Linked DNA regions of Cricetulus griseus. The protein of the gene in region 4 binds, or shares a complex with, the protein of the main gene of each other region. Links are inferred from orthologs where the notes say so. Each region holds a gene or a part of one and is shown on either strand. Other genes may lie near its edges. The genes, in order: Stk26, Ppp2r1a, Stk24, Strip1, Strn, Stk25 and Strn4.

Region 1 (3,023 bases), on a different chromosome or scaffold from region 4:
TTTGGGGAAGCTGAGAGATACTCACTTTGTTTTTCTTTGCCCCCTAGCTGCCAATGTCTTGCTTTCTGAGCAAGGTGATGTTAAGCTTGCTGACTTTGGAGTTGCTGGCCAGCTGACAGATACACAAATTAAAAGAAACACCTTTGTGGGAACTCCATTTTGGATGGCTCCTGAAGTTATTCAACAGTCAGCTTACGACTCTAAAGTAAAGTATTCCACATGCAGATGGAATTAATTGGATATGGCCTTGTCAATAAGCTTTTTAATTTTTCCTTGCTTCACAAGTGCTTCTAAAAGAAATTATGTCGTATTTTGTTTCTTAATCGTAAATCCCTTTGGTGTTGGTAATATTTGAGCCCTATTTATTTCAATGGTTTTTCAACCCACTTGGAATAAAATCTAGAGTCCTCATAGTCACATATATGGCCACTGATGATCTGGCCATTTGATGTCTATCCACCCTTGTCTTCTACCACTGTCATCTGTACTCTCAGCTATTATGGCCTCATTGTTCCTCAAACACAAGTACATTTTGACCTCAGGAGTTTTCTCTTGCTTTCCCCTTTGTCTGGAATAGCCTAGCTCCCAGTGAGCTCTCTCTAAACATCCCTAACCATCCCACATAAACATGTAGCTCCTTTCTTTGCTTTGCTCGATATTCCCTTATTCTGCTTTTTGTGTCTTCACAGAACTTAGTTCCATATGACATCATGTTACTCATTTATCTTTCCCTCTTATTAGAATGTAAGCCTCTTCAAGGCAAGGACTTTCATCTGGTTTATTTAGCACTCAATTAGTGTTGTGCCTGTACAAAATATGAGATTTAAAGTGTTAATTCATGAATTCCATTAACTAAAATTATAATTCACCACATTTCTTGATATGTCAATGTGATAAAAAGTTTGTGTTATTGTTTCTGCTTTAGGCTGACATTTGGTCTTTGGGAATTACTGCTATTGAACTTGCCAAGGGAGAGCCTCCGAATTCTGACATGCACCCAATGAGAGTTCTGTTTCTTATTCCAAAAAACAACCCTCCAACTCTTGTTGGAGACTTTACTAAGTCTTTTAAGGAATTCATTGATGCTTGCCTGAATAAAGATCCATCATTTGTGAGTATATGCTGTTATTACCACTGGTGGTTTCCAATTGTTCTATCTACTTCTAACAAAGGTGGTGTTTCCTATATGGAGAATACAATGTGAAAAACATCTGTGATCCACCCACGAAGCTGGTTTCTCCTTCTGTATTGCTAATTCCACTCTGTTCTTAACCAGATTCTTGGTCTTGTTTTTTCCTCCCTGACATCATCTTCTTAGTTCCCAGCTACCTGATAATATTCTATTTCAAGAAAAAAGTTTGGGGAAATAATTCATTAGCTTTCTATTACTTACTTAGTAAAGTAGGCATGTGCCATTAGTGAGGGAATTGACTAAATTTATTACATGTCTTAGTGTTGTTAAAATAAAGCTGCTTTTCACTCCTGGTGATTAAATATACATGAGCACCTTTCTAAGCTGGATGTAACCATTTTATGTTGACAGTAAACATTATAATATTAATGAAATACTGAAGGGGACATATTCCCTACAGCACTTGCTGTTTGCATTCATGTACAATAAGAATTAGTGTTTGATAGAAAAGCATATACTAAGATGTGGTCAGATAATGACAAAATTAGGGATTCATAAGATGTGCAGATAATAACAAAATTACAGCAATCTTGCTCATTTGCATGATTTTTCAAAAATTACAGTCAGTGTAATAAAGTGTCTTAAATGTTGTTTTGACATTTTTAGATGGTTACTTTCTAAGTCCCGCTATTGCTGAGAAAGCTTTGTTGAGTGGCATGCTGGTGAGGTATCCTAGCATCTGTCTACTGTGCTTTAACAAATCAGGCTGCTAAAACAACCAATTTCAATTGGCTACCTTGACCCACTTGAAGAAATAAAATGGTCAGTTTTCCTATTACATTTTAATTGTCCTCCTGTTCATAGATCCAGTTTTGTAGATTTCAGTGTAATAATTCAAATGGTGTTTTACTACCTGTCTCTCCCCAAAAGATCCTCAAAATAGTCATGAGTCCTTTTCTTTGTGTGTGTCTGTGCCTTAGCGTCCTACAGCAAAAGAACTTTTGAAACATAAGTTCATTGTAAAAAATTCAAAGAAGACTTCTTATCTGACCGAACTGATCGATCGATTTAAGAGATGGAAGGCAGAAGGACACAGTGATGACGAATCGGACTCCGAGGGCTCTGACTCGTATGTACAAGTTACTGTTATTTTTATGTTGGCAGCCTGTTTTCATATGCTCTGCCTTTCGCAGTGACCTAGTGTGCTTGCTTTCAACTAAGTTATAAATCACCGTGAGGGCTCATTTCAGCCACTGTGAAGTTTCTTGATGGTTCATGGAATACAATGAGCTTGGAAACACACTTTGGAAGAGAAAAGCTCTGCTTTTAAATGGTCTCGGTCTAACCCCTAGTGGATACTTGAGTATATTACAAAATTTTGGAATACGATTTGATTAAAGGTGTTCTATTAGTTCATGAGAAGCAATAAGGAGCTATTTTCTCATACAGTGATTACAACTTGCAAAACCCTTTGGAGAACTGCTGTCACAGCCCTTCCTACTTCCTGGTCCCAGACCAAATTGATCAGACTGATCCGTGAACTGTGACAACTATTTACTTATGTATGGTTTTTACCCTATGGACAAGTTAGTCTTTTTGAAAAATGCCAGTATTTCTGCTTCTGTGTGCTCATCTTAACTTGAGTAGAAGAATTCAAGGGCTGAACCAGGATTTAGTCTTTTGGTATGTAGACCTCCACAGAGGTAGCACCCTATGTCGTCACAATATTCTCAGGCACCTGCATTTATGAGAAATTGCCCAATATTTGAAATGAATAAAATATCTCAGTATGTAGTTTGTGCCCAGTTTAAGGCTTGTTAACCTTAACTGCCCATGAAAACTTCTTGATGGAACTTTAAAAACACAAGGCATTCTACAGGGTTCGTGATTC
Region 2 (3,500 bases), on a different chromosome or scaffold from region 4:
CCCTGTCTCTTCTCATACAGCACCTTCTGGCCACCCAAACAGAAAGACTCCATTTGCCTCATTATTCAGGCATGCTAACTGAGGCTCTGCTTGTGCAAATTGTATCTCAAGTTATTTAATGCATACTACTTAAAACTGCCTGACAGAAAAAACAGTGACTCTTTTTTATCCACTTATTAGGAACAAGTCTCTCAAGGGCTGGAGAGACACATGAGTGTAACGCTGCAAGATGGGAAGGGACTTGCTTATGCTTCATCAAAGAGAAGGGTTCAAATCCATGCCTTTCTGCTTGGTGGCTCTCCAACTCCAGTCCAGATAACCCACCCCACATCTTCACTTCTCTCAAGATTTTTTTTTTTTTTTAACAGCAACAGAGTGGGTCCCAGTGAGCACTGATAGCAAGGAAACATGGCAGCTCTGTTCATTGCCATGGCTACAAACCCCTCCTACTGTGTTGCTGGCGTACTTACCATGATCAACCAGCCAGGCCATACACAAAGAGTTGAGTTTCTCATCAAAAAATTCCACACCCTGCAGGAAAAAAAAAGATTGGTAAGGGACTGAGGGGTAGGGAGAAGGAATTGAGGGAGGGGAGGAGGAAGGGGTCCCAGAGAATCAGGCAATGCTGAACCCGTCAAAGCTACCAGCCTTCTTCCTCTGCCTAAACTCCATGCAGCATCTGCTGAGGGCCCAGTTCCCGAGTCCAGTCCTCCCCACAGGCAGCTCTCAATGCCTACACCAAGGCTTCAAGCCCCTAGTAACTGCACCACAGCCCTGGTCCTGGGGCCATGACCAGACCAGATCAGACCCCCAAATCTATCACCTCAGGGCCAACAAAACCTGGCTCCTCACTCACCAGCTGTCCAGCCAGCAGAGGCATGTATTCAATGATGGCCAGCCGCACCCGCCACTTGGCATCCTCAGCCAGCTCCACAATGGCGGGGAGCAGGGACTGAGAGAGCTGCCGGATGCCAATCACCTCGTTCACGCAGTCCAGGTTGGAGATGATGTTCAGCCGTACCTCAGGGCACTTGGGAAGAGGACAGGCGGGTTAAGAGAACACAAAACATACGGCGGCCCTAGGAGCGTGTCAGGAGCAGGCAAGAGCTCCCCTCTGGGTATCGCCTGTGACGGGCAATAATCAAACAGCCATCTAGTCTCCCAGCAGCCGAGGCTCTGCAAAGTGAAATGGGAGCCCCTCGATGTGCCCGAGTTGCTAGTGTCTGGACCCATTCTCTATCATTCCCATCACTTCAACTGCTAATGCCAGACCAGGGAGGACATGTGATGAGTCTCAGAACTGCCAGACTCCAAGCAGTGCGAACCCTGATTTACAGTCCATAGCCATTCCCACTCATGCCACAGAGCAGAGACATCTATAGGAACAAACGCATAGACCTCACAGAGGCCACTGAAAGCAACTTTTCCAGAAAACCCCAAACCCAGAAGAGTTTGTTTTGTTTTGTTTTTTTTCTATGGTGGTGGTAATAGAAACTGGACCCAGAGCTGCGAATGTTAAGACCTTTCAAGTGACTTCACTAACTTTGTCTAAAGACTTCTGGAGTAGGAACAGCCTGTGAGGAAATCTATGTCCCAGCCTGGGAACTGGGTTGCCATTATAGAATCAGCTACTGGGTACTCTATCAAAGTGCTCCATTAAAGAATTAGAAGGGGGCTGGAGAGATAGCTCAGGGGTTAAGAGCACTGGGTGTTCTTCCAGAGGTCCTGAGTTCAATTCCCAGCCACCACATGGTGGCTCACAATCATCTGGAATGAGATCTGGTGCCCTCTTCTGGCCTGCAGGGATACATGCAGGCAGAACACTATACATAATCAATAAAAATAAATCTTAAAAACAAACAAACAAAAAACCAAACAAACAGAAAAAAAAGAATTAGAATGGGTAGCATCACTCTGGGCTGGCACCCCAAGAACACTGGCCCTTTCTCTCACCTCTCCCTAATACTGGCTACACTCTCCTAAAAAGATCTCTTTCAGCCACTGCGTTTGTCTACATATTCAAATCCAATTCCCTGAGCTGTCACCACAGTGACATCTTTTCTTTTCTGTGGTCTAGGCCACCTGCACAGACAAGTATGGTGACCTGACTGGCTATGTCAATGGAACATGTAGAAGACACAAGCTAGAGAGAAGCCCTTCAATGAGCCAAGAGATAAAATTATAGCTGTGACCTCAGACCAAGAAAGCCAGGCCAGCAAAGCTAATACCTCACCACAGGACCAGCTGGGACGATGCGAGAGGAGTAATGGTAACTTTCTATGCCACTGTATTAGGGGCTTTGTGGCACATGAGCCTAAAAACCATGGCGCACCTCTCCCAGTACCGACAGTATCTGAATGGAACTACGTCTGTTCCTCTCCACGGGAACACTCTGTGGGGCTGTAAATATCACCACCACTGTCCTGGTCTTTTTTATACCCTCAGCACTCAGGGGAAGGATGAGTGCAATGTGAAGGGCGCATGAAGCATGTCTAACAAGAGTGAACAAGCAGACACTCACACCTGTCGTTGAGAAGGGAGTGTGGTGTGTGCTGTGTGGTGCCAAGACTCTAAAATACTCTTGGTCAACCCGGCGAACTGCAGTCTGTCATCTCTGCAAAGAGCTGAAAACCTTCCTGGTACTATTACCTCATCCTTTAGCTGAGCCAAGAAGAGTGGCAAGAGGTGCTCAATGGTGTTGTCTTTGCCCAGAATGGGAGAGAGGCCCATGATGACTGAAGCCAGTGCTGACTTGACATGCTGGTTGGCATCTGACACGAGTTCCTGGGGAGGAGAAGGATGCAGCTCAGTGTCTGAGTGGCTGCACAGACCTCAGCCCTGCTGGCCTGAGGAGACCACACTCTCCCACGTGTAACATAGGCAGGGCAGCTCAGGCATGCACTGCACTTATTCACAAGTCCTCTCTTGTTTGCTATGTGAGCCCTGCTTCCAGCAGCCACTGCCCCATTCCCCAAGCTCTGTGGATGAGGGAACTCGGTGGCCTCTGAGGGGCAAACACACCCCTTAGGTCCTTAGGGTCAGTTGTGTAACCCTCACGATTTTGCCTACAGCCAAACCCATGATGGTTAAAACCCAGTTCCTGTGTGTCCTAGAAGGATGCAAATCTAGCTTGGATGGGACTGTACTGAAAACCAAATCTTCACCTCTCTGGCATTCTCAAGTCCTACACCCAAGTACGCCATTACCTTGATGCAGGGCAAGATCTGGGTCATGATCACATTCTCTCGGCAGTCAGCTGAGAGATTTTCACAGAACTCTGTGGACAGAGATGGGAAGGTGCTGGTGAGACGCCACGGCCCAATCCCATTGCTGCCTCTCCGACATCCACCCATCTAGCTGCGTTCTGGTTGCCAGCACCAACCTTTGACCTTGTGGGAGGCAGCGGCCCTCACCTCGGCCTCACAGTCCTTCATCAGGTTCTGGAAGGCGGGCACCAGATCTGTCTTGGTTATCTCAGGCCCTACTGCTTTCTGGAGCTG
Region 3 (3,500 bases), on a different chromosome or scaffold from region 4:
GCCCTTCACTACAGTCACCATTTAAGGAACCCACTGTGCACTGACTGAAGTGATTGGTACATGGGCTTAGGCAGCAGGGCTCCCCAGTGCTGAGTCTGAGTCTCATGTCAGAGTCCACGGGACCCAGGCTGAGAACACACCGGGAAAGACACATCAGATAGACTGGGAACACACAGCAGTCTTAGGGCTGCTCTACAGTGAGCAGGGCTGTCAGCAACTCAAAACAAACAACACAACAGGCTGGCAAACAGCTGACATGGGGACCTGCAGTGGAGGGAGACACCTCTGCTCACGTCACTGCCCTGTGAACTCATCACCAGGCCCTGAAGGGACAGCCTTCTCTCTTACACGTGGCAAGAGAAGGCCTGTTCAGGTGACTACAGGACTCGGACATTGCTGACCTTTAACCACTTGGAGTGGACTCACTTGCCATTGTAACTTTGAAAGTTCCAGAAACCCTTACGGCAGGGTACCAGTCAGAACCATGAAGGTGACAAGAAGCAAGAAAGCCACACATAGGAAAGCAACCTACAGGAGCATTAAGGAAGGCCTGACTCTCACCTGTCCTCTTTGGATCGTCCTAACCGAGAACAACCTGGTGCCATCCTGGCACTAAGGAGGTTGAGCCAGAGGAACTGAAAGTTCATGACCAAAATGGGTTATATAATGAAACCTTGTCCAAAAAAAAAAAACCAAAAACACCCAAAACTATGAAATATCTAAACCCAGCCAGGTGACAGATGTGTGGCCATGTGACAAGGCTTTAACTGCCAGCCGTCCCATGTCCTTCTAGCACTAGCCTGGCTAAGCTGCCCTTGCACCTGGAGCCTGTGCAGTCCCCCTGTGCATCTGAAGCCCACTGACAAACCTGGACACTGAGCCCATGAGCACCAAGCCATTTGGCACATAATCAAAGACCACAATAAGAATCCATGTGTAAACCCAACCTACCCTAACAAATGTGAGTAGGAAGACAGAAGGCGTCTCCCAAACATTCCACAAGCAGCATTACTTACTCTACCTCAGAACAAATAATTACATTACCATAGCCCATTAACTTAATGAACTGATTCTACCAAATCCCAGCAAACGTAACCTTGCCTATCACTACATTTACGACGTGTGGCACCTGGGGATTCGAATGAAAATCAGGTAAGGAGAGGACAGTCATAGCCCAAAACAACCAAGGTTGAACTGTACCACAAAGTCATTTTAGAGATGCTCTGGAATGACAGCAAGATCAGGAGAGCTCTCTGGCAAACAAAAAAGGGGTGGCTATGTGTAAAACAGAAATGGGTGGCCTGGGTTCCAAGTCCTAAGGGCCATGGTTGAAAAGCCAATTGAGTGCAACTGAAAGAGAATGACCTGCAATGAAAGGAACTTGGATTCTAGTCCCTCTTCTACCAAAATTCAGACATGAGCACTGACAGTGAGCTGTGGACAATACACCCACCTTTCTGTATGACAGAACTCAGGGAAAAGGCCTGGGCAACAAATGCAGAGAGCAGAACTGACTAGCCTGAAGCACACTTGCTGCTTTCTGGATGCCGGGGAAAGAGCTCCTACCCGAGCTACCACATCACCAGTCTCTGAGTTCTCTCAAGCCAGAACGTGGGACAGCTGCACCTTCACCCACCATGACATGCCATGACACCTTACAAGAGCCACCCAAGGTCCCAAAGGCAAGTTAGCCTATGTTCCACACACCATTTAATGAGCCAGGAAAGCTGCTACACATGGAGGAGGGTCCTATCTTAAAAAGAAGAGAGAGAGAAGAAAGAGTGACAAAGGCTTGAGCCTGGCATGCTAACACATCATTGCAATCTCAACACCAGAAGGCTGAAGCAGGCAGCTCACCAGTTTGTCAGACTCCAGCAACAGAGCAAAACCGTCTTCATAGGGGATGGGGACTGGCGGCTGGAAAGACAGCTACACATTTCAGAGCTCACACTGTTCTCGTAAGAATCCTGGTCTGGTTCCCAGCACCTGTGTCAGACAGCTTAGAGCAGCCTGACTCCATCTCGGGGATGACCTAATGCTTCCAGCCTTCCCAAGGATCAGCATTCATACGTGCATATTCACATAGACGAACGCACGCACACACGCACGTAAATAAATAAACAAACAAAAAACAATGTTCGACCTATGAGCATCCCTGAGTTAAATTTTTGCTGCTGTTGTGAAGTTTGGGACTCAGGAAAGCTACTTCTCTGCCATGATCATTGTTACTATGCACAGGCCGCTGACCCGAGCAAATGGAGTGGCCTATTACAAGGCTTCAAAAAACTAAAGGACCAAAAAAACAATGAACACGAGGTACAGAAGCTGAAAAACAAGCAACTGTGGGAGGACTGCAGTCTCCTGCTGTCTCACAGCCTCTGGGAGTAAGGACCTGAGACCAAAATGAGAACACATGGTGCAGTCACTATAGAATGATGCTTGCCCCATTCTGCCATGGGCTTCTCTGTGGATTCTCTGATGCAGTGGGCAGCCTCTGCCCTGAAGGATGCTCCAACCACAACTTCAGAGAGCACGAGCCAGCCCCTCCTCTTCCTTATAAGGGGTCACGTCCATCGTCACACACTGAAGCCACACCCTAAGGTGTGGCCACCACCCCAAGTCCATGGTCGGAACAAGATACCACTACACTCTGATTCTTTCTCTAGAAGCCCTATCTATACAGAGCAGGCTGAGCTCTGTCCAGGCCCTGCCCTTCATCACTGTGCCAAGATCCCACCCACCTTGGTGCTCCTGTGCTGCGGCATTGCCTGCCACGAGCCATCTATCCAGGGTCTGCATGTCTCAGAAGGCTGAAGCTATGCCCACCCTCGTATCTGCTCCTTCCTGGCCCCACCAGATCAAACACACACCAAGGCCAGAAGAACAAGATAGCCAATAGCACAGCGGGAGATGAAGAAGGAAGCTCACAGAATTACCTCTACAACCTACCTCAGGTACGGAAGGAAAGACACGGATGCAAAAATGAAAGGGGACAGACATCTGAATGTCGTGGGTCCACAGCACAGGCTCTCTCTCACCTTTGAGTCATAGGCTGACTGCTTAATGACCTCGGGCGCCATCCAGAAGGGAGTGCCCACGAAGGTGTTCCTTTTGATCTGGGTATCGGTCAGCTGGCCAGCTACTCCAAAGTCAGCCAGCTTCACTTCCCCATGTTCAGAGAGCAGAACGTTGGCAGCTGCAAGACAACCAAGCAGGGGGACATCATTACAGTTATACCCACCCAGGCTCACCCTGGGAGTCCAGGCATGCTTTCCCCACAGGGCACAAGGGCCTGTAATAGCAAGGTGCCCAGAGGTTCACAACAGTTCAGCTTGATGCAGAGTAGGCAGGACAGAGGTACGGAAGGCTCCGCCACTTCAGGTGTTTCAAAGAAATGAAAACAAGAGTAGCTCCTACCTTTAATGTCTCTGTGGATTTTCTTCTCAGAGTGTAGATAATCAAGTCCCTTCAGAATTTCTCGTAATATGGTAGCAATCTGA
Region 4 (4,291 bases):
AATTTTCAGTGAAAACTAACAGACAGAGAAAGCAGAAACGGAACAGATTGGCCTTCTTCCCACACACAGGAGAGAATGCACTGAGAATCTGTTAGGGATAGGTGATTCCTGAGAACATGCCATCTTGGAAAACTGGTACTGGGAAGAGAGAAACAGCAAGAAAAAAATGGATAAAACCATCTTGATTAAAATGTACTTGGAAGACCCAGAGGATACAGTTCAGTGTAGGGGACCTTGCCTAACATGTGCTAGGCCCTGAGCTTAATCTTCAGCATTGGGGGTGAGGGGGAGGAAGCAAGTTAGATGGAGGGTGGGGTCAGAGAGAACCTTATAATAATGACCACTGACAAAATAGCATAATATACCCCCAAACAATAACTCTACTCCTTATTAATGGACAACAGTGAACACTTTTACAAGCTACTGAGTTTCTAGGCTAGGTATATAGTTCAGTGGTAGAATGATTACCTAATGTGCAGAGTCTTGGGTTCACATCCCAGTACCACCAAAACACAAATAAAATCAACAGTAGCATGTATTGCTGAGGTTGAGTTTTTCATTTACTGGATGCGAATGACAAAAAAAAAAAAATCTGCTTGGAACTTTTTCTTATGACTTTTTTTTGACAACTTCATACATATTATACAATGTATTGTGATCACATTCATAACCTAATCCATTACCCTTTCTTACCCCCTCCCAATGTATTTATGTAGAGACAAGGTTTTACTGTGCAGCCCAGGCTGGCCTTGATCTCTGATCCCCCTTTCTCAGCTTCCTGTGTGTTGAGACTAGAAGCATGCTAGGCTACCTTCGCTATTTTTGAAGACTAACAAAATTAATGCAGCACATATTGAGCTCTCTCTCCTCGATGTCAGCCTCCTGTTGTCTAGACACTGATCAGATTCCCAAACTACTGATTTCAGCTGTCATTAGAGGAAGTGTGCAGCATAAGCATCTCTAATGCAAGTAGATAGATCTCTCTATTTGATGGGCCTTTAGATGCCGACTCTGCTGAAATTAAAGGGTAGAAAGAGAAATTAAAATGTCTATGGGAGGTTGAGGATGTAGCTTGGCAGTACAATGTTTGCCTAGCTTACACAAGGCTTGGAATTTGATTCTCAGAATCACAAAATAATAATAAAATGCATGATAGGCTATGTATTTAGGAAAATTTAAAGCTTCTTTACCTGCTGGGCCATCTTGCCAGCAGGTAAAACATTTTTTTTAAGATTTATTTTATGTGTCTATCTGTATGCATGCAAGTTCCCCTGGAGGTCAGAAGGAGGGTATTGGATCCCTAGGAGCTGGAGTTAAAGGCAGTTGTGAGCTGCCCAATATGGGTGCTGGGATCCAAACTCAGGTCTTCTGAGGGCAGCAACTGCTTTTAACCACTGAACCACCTCTCCACCACCACCCCCAAAAGAGCCTGTGGGTATTAATCGATTCTCAGCATCCTATTCAGAAAAACTAAACAAGTCTGGTCATTAAAGAAGGTGTGCTCACAAACTTAAAACTTTCATACTCCTCCATACTTGAATGGTCACTGAGAAGTAGCCACTGATGATCCATTGTTCCACAATAAAGGGTTCAACTTCTGTTTTTTCAAAAAGGCCACTCTAAGTTCAACCTCTCTACTCTGGGCTTGTTCATCTGCAACATGTTTTAGCAGGACTTGAGCCTGCAACAAAAAACGATGAAAGGAACTGATGTCTAAAGACAGTATCATTAGTCTCTGGTTCAAGCTGGAGCATCAAATTTGGATAATGAGGAATTCCCTCTCAGTAAGCGCCTGACTGCTCATCACACTGGGAGTTGTCTCAGGTGGAGACTGCATAGTAAGTGCTCTGGGAATGAATGTGCTGATTAAGAAGCCCTAAAATGCTGCCACGGGTGTGTGTTCATTCATGAATTCTGCAAACGGAAGCAGTGGGAGGAATTTTAACTTGGGGCGAGGTGAACGGCTCCATAGTGCGCGGGCAAAGGGAAACACAGCTCACTAGCAAGAAGGAGAATCCTGCGCCCTTTGTGTACTTCTGATCCTTAACAGTTCAGCACTGGGTTCACGGGGCACACAAAAACGCTTGTCAGGGTCTGCCCATGGCCTGATCCTGCAGACTTAAAGTTCGGAGGGAACCCAGGGTGCTCTCTCTGCTTCTATCACAACCTGGGGCCACGCAGCATTAGAGAGAGATACAAGCCCTGTTCTGAGCACCCAATAAACTCTCTCAGGTCCCTTCGCTGCCAACTGGCGTCTCCCACCGCCCGCCCAAGATTAGGGGCCGGAAATGATGAGGCGCTGAGAGCAGACCGCCTCCTCTGGACCCCAGGGCTGTGCCTCGGGTCACGCCCCCGGGAGAGACCGGCCGGCTGTCCCCGGCTCCCGGACCTTCCCCGGGCCGGCCGGCCGCACAGGAGTCAGTGACAGGGCTCCGGGCTTCCCTCCCCGGGGCCGCGGGAGCGTCATGGGTCTCGGTCAAATGACAGCCGCCAGCCCGCCTGTCAAGCCTCCCGGAAGCCCGGCTGGGCCCGGAAGCTGCCCGGGCCCGGGACCCCCTCTGCCACCCGCCCAGGGGCAGCCTCGCCCCCTGCAGCTCTGACCTCCGAGTCTTTGCGCTGGTTGCGGTTGAACTCGCGAGCTTTGCCCCCCGGCAGGAGGCCCCCAGCGGCCCTCGGCGCCCCGGGAGGAGGCTGTGCGGTGGCGGGCGGCGGAGGGGGTGGCGGCTGGGGCTGCTTGTTGTTCACAATCAGAGGGCCGGGACCGGCGGCGGCCGGCTCCATCTTGGCTGCTCCACACCCCCGGCTCAATTCTCGGACGGGCTCCGTCAGGCAACTCTCGCGTGATTTCCTCCAGGAAATTTCCCCAATCGCCATCTTCAGTGTGGCGGTGTTGTGTGGAAAGCCGTGACTGCCAATCACCTCCTTCCAGGGAAACTAAACGAGAGACGTGCCATTGGGCTCGCGGGAGTCCCTACAGGGACCTTTCTGTCGGTGACATTTCACTCCTTCGGTTTATTTAGTGGTCTCTTCCTTACTCTACATCGCTTTGCGCTGTCGTCACAGCCCCGTTCAAGGTGAGGCAAAATGAAAGGGGAAATTCAGAAGACCTCAGTAGAGAAAGGAATCCCTTACCCATGGGTCTAGTTGAAGCCTCTTACTACCAGAGAAGAATTTCAGTACAATTAACAACTGATTGTGGCTCTCCCCACCCCCATCCCTCAGCTGGAAAACCTGCAAGTTTGTAGGAGTCTGCAAGTTGCACTGCAAACCTCTGTGCAACCCTAGGAACTCCTGGTTTTGCTTTATCTGGAGCCTCGTTAGAATCTTAGTATCAAAAGAGAAAATAATGCACGGGATGGAGTGTGGGGGGGGAGGGGATTCTGTTTTGTTTTGTTTTGTTTTTTGAGACAGGGTTTCTCTTCGTAGTCCTGGCTGCCCTGGAACTCCCTCTGTACACCAGGCTGGTTTTGAACTCAAAGAACTACTTGCCTCTGCCTCCAGAGGACTGGGAATAAAGAAGGTTTGTGCTACCACTGCCTGGCCAGAGTGGGGGATTTAGCTTTGTAACTTGAGAGCCACCAAAATGGTACCTATGGCTAATACTAGGACACTCAAAGAAATCTCTCCCTTGAAGAGGACATAGCCAAGTGTGGATATGTCTTTAAGCAACCTTCTCCTAACCCTCATGCCTAAAGTCTATATTAGATTATCTTCATAACTCTGCTTCATACTGGATAATATTGAAATTATTTTCTGCATTGAAGACACAAACTCTGGTTTGAGGTATACATACAAAAGAAAAAGGAAAAAAAAACATACACGTAAAAAAAAAAACAACTTAATCCTGAATTGGCCTGAGTTGATGTCCCTGAAAGATTGGAGGAACTCCGTGGACTGCTAAAGATGATAGTGTGAAGCTGTGTCTCTGTCACCAAACCACTGACAGACTTTAAGGCTATAATAGTGAACAAAAGAGACAGGATTCCAGTCTTTGTGGAGTCTACAGTCACATGGGGGATATAACCAAATGAGCAAATAAAACACAGAAAATGAAAATAAGTTTAACATACAGAAATTGTGAGGAAGGGGGTAATGTATGTACCAAGCACCTAGAAACTGCTCCTGCTGAAAAGGCCTTAACTCCTTATTTGGGCCCAAAGGTAACCAGAAAACCCTGGCATCTCTGCCTTCATTTTGTAGCTGTCTCATTTACTCTGGGTTACCTGCTCACCTCTGCACTGAGGTGTACTACTTGAGGAGGATCTGTCAAAAAACAAACAAACAAAAAAAA
Region 5 (3,500 bases), on a different chromosome or scaffold from region 4:
TGCCTTTTCCAGAGGCTGCTTCACTGACTACAAATATTTAAGATGAATTTAACAATTCAAAAGATTTGCTAAAGAGATGTTATTTTTAAACAAAGAAGTGAGTTAATTATATCCAGTACACAACAGACTTAAAAGTTGTTTTTCAGTGCTACAGTTAATCATGTTTAATAATAGGTACTTGTTGAAGACATTAAATAATAGTTGCTTGCTTTTAATAGCTGGCCTTAAAACAGTAGTGGTGTCTGGGTGTGGTGGTGCACACCTTTAGTCCCAGCACTCTGGAGGCACAGGCAGAGGAACCTCAAGGCCAGCCTGGTCTATTTAACCAGCTCAGGCTAGTCAGGGATAAATGGTGACAAAAACCTAGTAGTAGTAACAGAAACTCAAAATCTTCATCAGGAAAAAGACAGTTACTGTAGAATAAAATAGAATATAAATTAAACCACTATCAAACCACATACACACAAGAGTAGCATTAATAAAAATGAGCCTCATCTAAATGCTGCATGTCATTTGAAGGGTTCAAAGAACCCTAGTGTTTGCATAGTGGAAACTGTCCAAACAGTAATTTTCAGGCCAAAATATCAAATACTTCATGTGTGCCTGGGAGACTAGGTATTCAGCAGTTGTCTTTAGTTTATTCTGTTTTTCATTTCTAATCTCTCTCTCTCTCTCTCTCTCTCTCTCTCTCTCTCATTTGTTTTTTGAGACAGAGTTTCTCTAGGTAACAGTCCTGGCTGTCCTGGAACTCACTCTGTAGACCAGGCTGGCCTTGAACTTACTGAGATCCACCTGCCTCTACACTCTGTAGACCAGGCTGGCCTTGAACTTACTGAGATCCACCTGCCTCTACACTCTGTAGACCAGGCTGGCCTTGATCTTACTGAGATCCACCTGCCTCTACCTCCTGAGTTCTGGGTTTAAAGCTGTACACCACCATTGCCCAGCCCACTTCTATAAATTCGCTTGTCCTGAAACAGTAAGTCTCCTGAGACTGGCCACAGCATGGGTTAGTACTAACTAATAGTCTAAGAAGGTCTAGTCAGTAGTCAGAGAAAGCAACAGGCACATCATGTCTCTAAGAAGGTAGGCATCTTGTTCTCTTTAGCCTCAGAAGTTAAGAAACAGGTTACAGTGCTTTGGGTAACTAAATACTGATGCCCTTAAAGAGCTTTTAAAAAACTAACTGGAATTCTAATATGACATCAAGGGGACACCATCTGTCTCCTTCACTCACTCCTCTACCCTAGTGCAGGAGTTAAAACTGAGCTCTGTGTGATAGGAACATGCTCTATCACCAAGTGTAATATGTAGCATTAAAGCTGAGCTTGAAAAATTATCAACATATGATTTTATGTTAAACATAAAACAAAACAGAGCTATTCTACATAATGGCTGTAATTATGTTTAAAAAAATATGCAAGTGGATAAGGACTTTTGAAAGGCAATGGAAACATGGGAAGCAAGAAACCAGGTAACTTTCCCTCCATTTTGCTGTTGCTTTGAGATAGGATCTCACTATGCCACCTTTGACTGCTCTGGAACTTGCTCTGGAGACAGGTTGGCTTCAAACTCTCAGAGAACTGGTTTCCTCTGCCTCTGAGTGCTAGGATTAAAGCATGTATCACCATATCTGGTGTTCCTTCATTTTTAAAATCAATGATAAATTAAGTATGCTGACTTTCACAGTGAACATTTAGTACCAATTTTAGACTCAATTTTCTCAAGGCTGAACTGAATAAGCCTGTTACCACTCTTGTCAATGGAGCTAGGGCATATTCCAAAGCAGAAACTAAGAGCAGTTCTAAAATTTATGCCTCTCACCCGAAGCTGGAGTCATCCCCACTGACTTAAGAAAGCAGTGTGTGCGGGCTGGGTGCTCTCTAAGGTGCCTGTACCAGCCACAGGTCCAGGTGCTCACCTTCATCTGCCCTCCTGATCTCTTGCTCAGGGAGCCTAGAGCTGCTGGGTCTGGAAGGGGAGCCAACAGACGGCTGCAATGAAGGAAGTTCATCTACATCTCTCAAATTAGCAAGCATGTCTTGTAGTTTTGACCTGTTGGGCCCTAGCCAAAAAAAAAAAAAGGGGGGGGGGGCGCAGAGGAGAAAAAACAAAAGAGAAAACAGAATCACTCATTTCATAAAAACTGTACAATAAACTTTTTCACATCTGCCAACATTCACCTTTAAAATGTCCTACTAGAGTGATCAATAAGAAGTAGTTATTTTCGAGGTTTTCAAAGTTTAAGAGTTTATCATTTCTGGAAAAAAATGATATTTAAATACATGTTTTATAAATTAAGTTAATGGAATCACTACATGAAAAAGAATGCCATGTCCAATATGTATCATTAAAAGTCATATTCATCTACAATGAACCCAATGACTATTGGTCTAAATGAAGACAATCACAGATCATGAACCAAATGTAAACTCAATTGAAAAATAACGTCTCTGCTTGTTTAAATTAAGTTACATTCATTGCCTTACATCCTGCAGCTATGGAACCCAAAGTGAAGTCTCATGCCCTATTGTCACTTACCTGGGCTTTGATTCTTCATTCTCCCACATCCCTGTTTTGACTGTTTTATATAGGATAGAGGCTGAAACAGATCTTCGGTAGTTTTTCCTGTTACAAGTTTAATTAAGAATGGGAAAATCTTACCCATAGTCCGTTATGGTATTTCCTATACATACCATAGCAAAGAATACAACTATTTCTAAGCTATTTTAACTAATTCCTAGAAAATTAAAGATAATGTGACTGGAGTACACAATTTGACTGGATATACTTACAGTAGACCAATTAAAAACAACAAGAAGTTTACAGTGGGTAACAGCTCAATTAAAAAGTATATTTTGGTGGCTTATAAATTAATGTTTCTTATACCAATTCAAAGCTTTACTTCATTTTCCTCTTTATCACAGGTCTTCACTTGTCCTCATATTACTGTTTTAACCAAATAACAAGTGAAAAGAATAAATAAAATGTGCTGGCCTTAGTCTACACTCCTTATCGTCAGTGCAAATCATTCACATTTCTCCCCAGAGAGTTAACACTTCTTCATTTAAAAAGCCCATGTGCTATATATTTAAATATAGTTATCAATCCCCAGGAGCAGGGAACTCAATTGCTTCTGCTAGTAGGAATACTATTCCAGTCAAATGGTGCAGGTTTAGATCTGAAAGGCTAAACTCTAATCACAATGTAAGAGGAGATGAGTTCCACAGAAGTCTTGGCTACCTTTCTAATTAAAAAATCTTTACATCCCAACATACTAATTTTATAACATAATATGCCCAAAAAATACATCGACATTGGTTTTTAGTCTGGAAATAATTTCTAATGTACGATATACAAATTATCTTCAACATTTTAGTTTAACTAGCTTGAGAATGGTTCTAAAAGCCATAGAAATTCATGTGTCAATATATATTTTAAGTTTAAAGTTTTTTAGCATATTTGAATAAAGGGATTAAATAGTTTTGCTTTAATGTTAA
Region 6 (3,278 bases), on a different chromosome or scaffold from region 4:
GTCTGAGATCCAGGAAAAGGAAATGAGGGTTCCTCAGTTTGTTCTGAGTGCAGCCTGGCTGACTGGCCCCCAACACAGGACCAGATGCTTCCACAAACCTGTAGCACCAATAGCCAAATTCACACAAGCACTATACTCAGGCTTATGTGATAAGCTCAGGGTTAGCCTCCAGATCAGAGCAAGACAGGAGTGCGGCCAAAGCTACTCTGGTTCCCATCTCCACACACTGTCTAGACAAGAGGAAACCAAAGATCCCGGCCCCACCACCACCACCAGGCCTGGGAGGGTGGAGCCTCTCCATATTAGTTCCTAGTATTTCTCATCAACTAGGGCAGGCCTATGACTCCTGTTCACTATGTGACTTTAAAATAAAAGGACATATCCCCACCCACATCCTCTCTGCCTTACTTTGTTCTCCAGCAGGCCACAAGAAACTATCAGGATATATGACAACATTTGGAAGGGACGCTAAGGATACAGACACCCCCATCTGGCCAGGCTCCATCATCAGAATGTCTCCAATCCAGGTCTTTATTGAAATGATAGGGCTTTCAATGCTCTATGAAAACTAACACTGTCAGAATACTTAGCAAGTTCAATTTCTTTAAAAAGAAAAAAGAAAGGCCCAAAATACTCTGAACGATTCAGAGTACCCATGAGATCACACAGTGCCTGACCTGACACCACAAGGCAAGTTGTGACCATCTTGGACCCCTATGAGCCCCAGGACAATACATCCCTGGTGTAGGGTGAGAGCCAGAGCTGCCCAGTAGTCGCTTTCATCCTTAGTCTAGCAGCTGCAGGGGCCCGGGATTCTAGAAGGTCACACCGGCGCCTCCCAAATTGCTACCTGGTTCTTCAAGGGCTCCTGGCTGCCTGCCGCAGCTTCAGTGAGCCCAGGAGAACACGGGTGTTGAGCGGCTGCTGTGCGGGCAGCACACGATGGCGGGCCGAAGGAAGGAAACCTGGTGCGTGAAGCCTACAGGCTGGCAGGTCTTTGCAATTGTGACGCAGCACAAGAGGGCTTCCCAGTCAGTCCTTTTAGAGCTCAAAACAAAAAGCCTTCTTCTCCCTCTCTGTAAGAGCAGTGCATCAGTCCGTCGTTCAGCGGGTAGATGTCAGATGGTTCCTGCTGTGTGAGAACCTGTAAGAGAAAGGTACCATTACCATGCTGGACACGAACTTCACATGTGCAGTTCCCAGCAGCATCTCACAAGATACCGTCAGAGTTTCAGGTCCCAGGTTCAGTGCTGACTAGACCAAACCCTGCTGCTGCTGCTAAGAACCACCAGGGTGGGTCTCTTAGTGTACAGTAACAGGATCCAGAGGCTATGGGAGGAGGGACTGGTACACCTGCCTCTAACAGCCTGGGACCCCTGAGCCTGTGGAGCTGCCAAGGAAGGGCCAGTGGCTGCCCTGCATGTTCCTTCACAGACGGGAGTCAGCTCAAGGCTCCCCATCAATAGCAGGCAAGTCCTCAGCTTACAAAGTATCCATGCTGTTCCTGGGGCACAGAACCTCTAGGAAGCCACCAAGTAGAAAGGTCAGATGTCAGCTGTACACAATGCTCTGTCACTGAGCCATTTTGTGGAATTCTGTCCAAACACTGCCTGAGACTGAGTCCAACCTTCATGCATAGCTCAAAGTCTCAAGAGGCCCACTTGCCTCTCCCTCTCTAACTCCAAAGATACAATTGAGAGTGTGTGCTAACCCTGAAAGAGGAGGACCAGCTGCTCCCAAGAATGAGTCCCCTACGAGGATACCCTACCTGGGTCAGGGCACCGTGCTCACCTCTGCACACGCTCCACCAGGTGCACCATCAGCTTGTCTGAGATACCAGGACACGACTCCTCAGCCAGGCTGAAGGCATTCTCTAGCTCCTCCAGGGCCCCCACGCTCCCACCGCTCTGCTTATGCTTCTCTTTGAGCTGCAGAGAGAACAGGTACCCAACTGATATCTTACCTGAGACCCACACCAGAAGATCTACAGACCTGCGGAAGCACTTCATGTGGCCCTGCTGATGGGGACTCTCGTGGCCCTTCTCCCAAGACCCGGGTTCTCAAAAGGTCAGGACAAATGGCTTCTTAAAGACTCAAGTTCAGGAAGTCAAATCAAGTGGGCCCAGTCTGACTTAGAAATGAGTACAATGTCCCGGAGCACACGGCAAGGACATTGACGGCCCAGATCAGATGCGGAGCGTTGGTAACCGATTCTGGGACCTCAGCCCCTGATGGCACGTCTACTTTAAGGAGTCACTTTCCTGGCCCTGGGCATCACTGTCTGATGCCCATAACAGCCCTAAGTGGCTGTTTCCTACTCTGGCTAAGGACACTGCCAAATCCTACTCTGCCCACTGTGTCCATTCACCTACATCCTGTACTTCCTCTCTGGGATCTAGGTGCTGTTGTAAGCCTACACTGCATTTCTCTTTCTGTTGTTTTTGTTTTTGAGACAGGGTTTCTCTGTGTAACAGTCCTAGCTGTCCTGGAAACTTGCTCTGTAGACCAAGCTGGCCTCAAACTCACAGAGATCCGCCTGCCTCTGCCTCCCAAGTGCTAGGATTAAAGGCGTGCGCCACCACGCCCAGCTTGTTGCACTGTATCTCTGATGTTGGCTTTGACCTCCCTCAGCAGGCAACAGTGACATACGTGACCACCAAGGAATCACCTCCCTGGCCTAGGACTGACCCAACATCAGTGATTCTTTGTCTTCCTCCACAGAAGAACCACGTGGAAGTTGGACAGTACAAAACACTAGTACTGTAATGCCAGATGACTTTAGTAAAAGGGCCCTGGCCAGGTCAGTTATTCCCAGTGGGTTATGGTACAGACCTTCTCAGGAAACTGGACACACAAGCCTGTGCAGAACCAGCTGCAGCAGACCCAGAAGTCAAATAGATAAAGCCCAGGCTCAGGGCCCACGAGAACACCATACCATGGCTCTGCAGGGAGCACCTCTGAAGAACAATGCTACTACCCCACATGACCATAAGCTCAGCCCAACTCTCACCTCTCCAAAGACAGGCCGGACTAGCGTGGACAAGCACTGGGACCTTGGCTGTCTCTTGATAGGCTCAGTAGGCTGCAAGGGAGAAAGCGAGGCACTGGGTACATGGAAGAGATAAGACGATTCCTTCCCTGTCTCCTCAGTCTCTGGCTTAAGCAGGTTGACAGAGTACACACCAGAGGTCAACTCCCAAACGATAAGCCATCAGTTCTCATTAGGCCTGCACCTAAGCACCAGCAGACCCAGGCTTTGGCATGACTCCTAGCTAGCT
Region 7 (3,500 bases), on a different chromosome or scaffold from region 4:
GTGGGAGCTGAGCCCAGGCTCCTACTCTTGTCCCTGAGTGCCAGAAGTAGCTTCCTACGCCTCCCAGCAACAGACGCTCTGAAGGAAGAGTGGGCTGCCGCCTCCACCAGCAACCATAGGGACACAGCTGTTAATGCTTAACGCCCCCGCCCATCCCTGACCTAACTCCTCAGAAGGCCATAGCCAAGTCAGGCCATGCTGTCCCTGTTTGAACTCCATGGGTTAAAAATGGCTCCTCAGCTTCTCTTTCTTTTCTTTTTCCTTTTCTTCTTTGTAAGGTAGAGTCTTAATCTTAGCTCATACTAGACTTGAAGGTGTAGCAGTCCCTTTGCCTCAGCCTCCCAAGTGCTGAGATTATAGATTGAGCTCTTTTATGGGTAGTAGACCCGGAGACCCTGGAGGTGGGCCCAGCCTGTCCTCTCTTCTTATTGAACACTGGCATCGCTGTGGGGGAGGCCCTGAAGCTGTTCCTGAACTGGGGAGGGAGACACAGCATCAGTGACCCTCAGCCATGCTATCTAACTTTCTCTTCTGTCCCAGGCTCAGGTGGCTTTCCTCCAAGGTGAGAGGAAAGGCCAAGAGAATCTAAAGACGGACCTGGTGCGGCGGATCAAGATGCTAGAATATGCACTAAAGCAGGAGAGGTGAGAGCTGCCCCTGCCAGAGAGGTCACTGTTTCAGATAGGGTGGCAGGCTGCCAGCAGAGGAAGTTTCTCCACCTTCCTCTTCCCGTCATCCCCAGGAGCGGGGTGAAACAGATTGTGGTGGGTGGATTCAGCTGCCAGCAGCAGCTTTAGGGACTTTGGCAAACCTGTGTGCACCAATTCTGGACAGCTGCTACCTTGCTTATTCTTGCCACAGTCTGATGGTGTTGCTGGCTGAGGTTCTGGGAAGGAACTGAGGCTCTTAGAGCTGGTACTGTGGGGCAGGGAGTGAATGAAAGAGGCCTGGGACTTGGGCTTTCTGAGGTGGTCTTTGCCTTGTCTGCTTTTTTGTCTTGTTTTTCGAGACAGGGCCTTTCTGTATAGCTCTGACTGTCCTGAAACTTGCTTTGTAGACCAGGCTGGCTTTGAACTCGTGGAGATTTGTCTACCTCTGCCTCCCAAGTGTTGGGACTAAAGGCGAGCGCCCCCACCACCCAGCATCGCCCTGTCTACTCATCTCTACTCATTTGTTATTTGCTGTTTTAGGGCCAAATACCATAAGCTGAAGTTCGGGACAGACCTGAACCAGGGGGAGAAGAAGACAGATGTGTCCGAACAAGGTACCTGCACTTGCACCCTCCCTTGGCCACGCTGGCATGGCAGCTGCTTGGCATAGAGAGAGACGTTGCAGATGGCCTCCTGTGCTTTCTTACTTGGCTCCTTGAAAAGCAGCAGTGGCTGTAGGGTGGAGTGGGGTAGAGCTGCATGCTGGTGTGTCTTCCCATCAGTCCTGTTTCAGACTGCCCAGCCCCACCTGCCTGCCATCCTGCTGTCCTCAGGGCGTGATGGACGCCCCAGCAGCTCCTGCTTCCTCCTGCTAGGGGAGTGAGTGGAACTATTTATGGCATGCTTTGGAAAGCGTAGGAAAGACGTCACTGAAGAGGTGGTGTTTGCACTGGACTGTCATTCAGTCATTTACCCTCAAAAGTTGATACATGATGTGTTTGTTGGCTTCCTGTCACAGGACAGGGGCACGGTGAAGAGCAGGATAGATGTAGTCCTGTTCTGTGGGCACTGGAGGAGGGGCCAGATGCCCATGGGAGGGAGGGGATGGGTGTTTTCAGGTGAGCACTAGTATCCAGGCAGTGCGGGTAGACGGTGTGTTTGGCTGTGCCGCTGATGCTGGGAGCTTGGTCTAGGGCTTTGTGAAGCCCTTGGCCTCGGGGTCAAGGGAGGGAGGTCATCTTCTCCTGCCAAGATGTGAGTTCTTGATTGGTGTGGCCCAGGCGTCTATCCCAGCCTTATAGATGCCCAGTGGATACCCGATGAGCAATGCACAGAGCAGGTTTCCCAGCCAGCGTCTCCTCACCCTGAGAGGTGAAAGCTGTTTCATGGGAAGCAGGCTTTCGTAGGTGCTCAGAGCTGCTCTAGGAAGTGCAGAGCCGACTCGACCCCAGCCTGCCCACTTTGTAGAGCCAGTCTGCCCACTCCCTGCATAGGAAGGAGCAGCCAGCCATGCGTGTGGAGGCACGGCTCTGTTATTGGGGGCGGTTGGCAGCGGCCAGTCAGAAGCCTAGCAGTGAGGAGAGCATCCAAGAGAGGAGTCACTTGGTGTGGGAGAGTGGGTGGAATGCACTCAGGAGGTGGGGACAAGGGCGGTGATGGTGGCAGATTCAGACTTGATGGGAGAGGATGGAGGGGTGACAGGAAAGTATCCATGCCCCGACTGAGACGGCCTCCTCTCTTCTCTCTAGTGTCTAATGGCCCTGTGGAGTCGGTCACACTGGAGAACAGCCCGTTGGTGTGGAAGGAGGGGCGACAGCTTCTGCGACAGTGAGTGAGGGGGAGGGGTGGGACAGGATGGGGCATGAAACACACAGCATACTTGGCTCAGAAGATAAGCCCAAGGAATCCACAGTCCTTCCTGTCCCCACTGGGACATGAACTATCAGGATCCCACACTGCCGTCACCCGACGGGAATTAGAGGGAAGACTTGCAGCAGGGGCCACCTTCCCACACCCCAAACTCAACCCTGCATAGTTCTCTGACATTTCCTCTTAAAAGAATAATGTTAGGGGAAGTTATTTTTTAAAGAGTAAAGTTAAATTATAGCAATAGTAGTACCTGGGTGCTGTGGGTTCAACCCAGGTTCTCAGAGGACCTGGTGAGCCCTGTTGACTTGCCCTCTGAGAGGTGAGCTGTCCTATGTCTTAAGAGAAGAGAGGCCCAAACAGAATTGGTGGACCACCAGCCTCCAGCCAAATCAGGATTTTTGTTAAAGATTTTAGCATTTTAGGATACCTGAGAAGTAAATAGTACCACTTCTGAGCAAATATGACCCTGTACACATTGGCATCTCCACCATCCACCCCAACACTTGGAGAGGTGCCCCGAGTTGAGAGTGGTGTGCTCTGTACTGTGTTAAGAGCCGGGACTCTGCTTTTACTGTTCTTAGGTTTTGTAATGCTTTGACTAAGTATTATCAAATCCTCTGTATAGATTAGCTAGGTTATATAATGTTCAGAATCTCATGGGTGGAATGTGGCTTAAGGGTTGAGCCCTTACTTACTGTGGGCCAGGCCCTGGAGTCCATCCCCCCAGCACCATAAAAATCACCACCACCGCGGGGCGGTGGGCGGTGGGCGGTGGAGGCGCACGCCTTTAATCCCAGCACTCGGGAGACAGAGGCAGGCGGATCTCTGTGAGTTCGAGGCCAGCCTGGTCTACAAGAGCTAGTTCCAGGGCAGCCTCCAAAGCCACAGAGAAACCCTGTCTCGAAAAACCAAATTAAAAAAAAAAAAAAAAAAAAAAAAATCACCACCATGTAATAGGCACCCTTCTGGAAAGCCAGAGAT

The links.
Region 1: Strip1 (region 4) and Stk26 share a complex: the UniProt entries of both Homo sapiens proteins name them as parts of the core of STRIPAK complex. The link is inferred for Cricetulus griseus from reciprocal best matches to the Homo sapiens genes STRIP1 and STK26.
Region 2: Strip1 (region 4) and Ppp2r1a share a complex: the UniProt entries of both Homo sapiens proteins name them as parts of the core of STRIPAK complex. The link is inferred for Cricetulus griseus from reciprocal best matches to the Homo sapiens genes STRIP1 and PPP2R1A.
Region 3: Strip1 (region 4) and Stk24 share a complex: the UniProt entries of both Homo sapiens proteins name them as parts of the core of STRIPAK complex. The link is inferred for Cricetulus griseus from reciprocal best matches to the Homo sapiens genes STRIP1 and STK24.
Region 5: Strip1 (region 4) and Strn share a complex: the UniProt entries of both Homo sapiens proteins name them as parts of the core of STRIPAK complex. The link is inferred for Cricetulus griseus from reciprocal best matches to the Homo sapiens genes STRIP1 and STRN.
Region 6: Strip1 (region 4) and Stk25 share a complex: the UniProt entries of both Homo sapiens proteins name them as parts of the core of STRIPAK complex. The link is inferred for Cricetulus griseus from reciprocal best matches to the Homo sapiens genes STRIP1 and STK25.
Region 7: Strip1 (region 4) and Strn4 share a complex: the UniProt entries of both Homo sapiens proteins name them as parts of the core of STRIPAK complex. The link is inferred for Cricetulus griseus from reciprocal best matches to the Homo sapiens genes STRIP1 and STRN4.

Annotation. Positions count from the first base shown.
Region 1 is NC_048604.1:19,058,861-19,061,883, reverse strand, and holds part of Stk26 (serine/threonine-protein kinase 26), read left to right. Parts: intron 1-47; coding exon 48-205; intron 206-925; coding exon 926-1,111; intron 1,112-2,112; coding exon 2,113-2,261; intron 2,262-3,023. UniProt on the Homo sapiens protein: Serine/threonine-protein kinase that acts as a mediator of cell growth. Modulates apoptosis. In association with STK24 negatively regulates Golgi reorientation in polarized cell migration upon RHO activation.
Region 2 is NC_048602.1:19,078,518-19,082,017, forward strand, and holds part of Ppp2r1a (serine/threonine-protein phosphatase 2A 65 kDa regulatory subunit A alpha isoform), read right to left. Parts: intron 3,498-3,500; coding exon 3,383-3,497; intron 3,278-3,382; coding exon 3,207-3,277; intron 2,785-3,206; coding exon 2,650-2,784; intron 1,031-2,649; coding exon 857-1,030; intron 532-856; coding exon 471-531; intron 1-470. UniProt on the Homo sapiens protein: The PR65 subunit of protein phosphatase 2A serves as a scaffolding molecule to coordinate the assembly of the catalytic subunit and a variable regulatory B subunit.
Region 3 is NW_023276807.1:271,175,076-271,178,575, forward strand, and holds part of Stk24 (serine/threonine-protein kinase 24), read right to left. Parts: coding exon 3,418-3,500; intron 3,197-3,417; coding exon 3,039-3,196; intron 1-3,038. UniProt on the Homo sapiens protein: Serine/threonine-protein kinase that acts on both serine and threonine residues and promotes apoptosis in response to stress stimuli and caspase activation.
Region 4 is NW_023276806.1:49,527,713-49,532,003, reverse strand, and holds the start of Strip1 (striatin-interacting protein 1), read right to left. Parts: upstream 2,801-4,291; 5' UTR 2,782-2,800; coding exon 2,602-2,781; intron 1-2,601. UniProt on the Homo sapiens protein: Plays a role in the regulation of cell morphology and cytoskeletal organization. Required in the cortical actin filament dynamics and cell shape. Part of the striatin-interacting phosphatase and kinase (STRIPAK) complexes.
Region 5 is NC_048600.1:5,360,587-5,364,086, reverse strand, and holds part of Strn (striatin), read right to left. Parts: intron 2,629-3,500; coding exon 2,542-2,628; intron 2,066-2,541; coding exon 1,922-2,065; intron 1-1,921. UniProt on the Homo sapiens protein: Calmodulin-binding scaffolding protein which is the center of the striatin-interacting phosphatase and kinase (STRIPAK) complexes.
Region 6 is NC_048595.1:445,066,409-445,069,686, forward strand, and holds the end of Stk25 (serine/threonine-protein kinase 25), read right to left. Parts: intron 3,083-3,278; coding exon 3,011-3,082; intron 1,929-3,010; coding exon 1,792-1,928; intron 1,145-1,791; coding exon 1,105-1,144; 3' UTR 501-1,104; downstream 1-500. UniProt on the Homo sapiens protein: Oxidant stress-activated serine/threonine kinase that may play a role in the response to environmental stress.
Region 7 is NC_048602.1:11,451,216-11,454,715, forward strand, and holds part of Strn4 (striatin-4), read left to right. Parts: intron 1-537; coding exon 538-644; intron 645-1,190; coding exon 1,191-1,264; intron 1,265-2,398; coding exon 2,399-2,477; intron 2,478-3,500. UniProt on the Homo sapiens protein: Calmodulin-binding scaffolding protein which is the center of the striatin-interacting phosphatase and kinase (STRIPAK) complexes.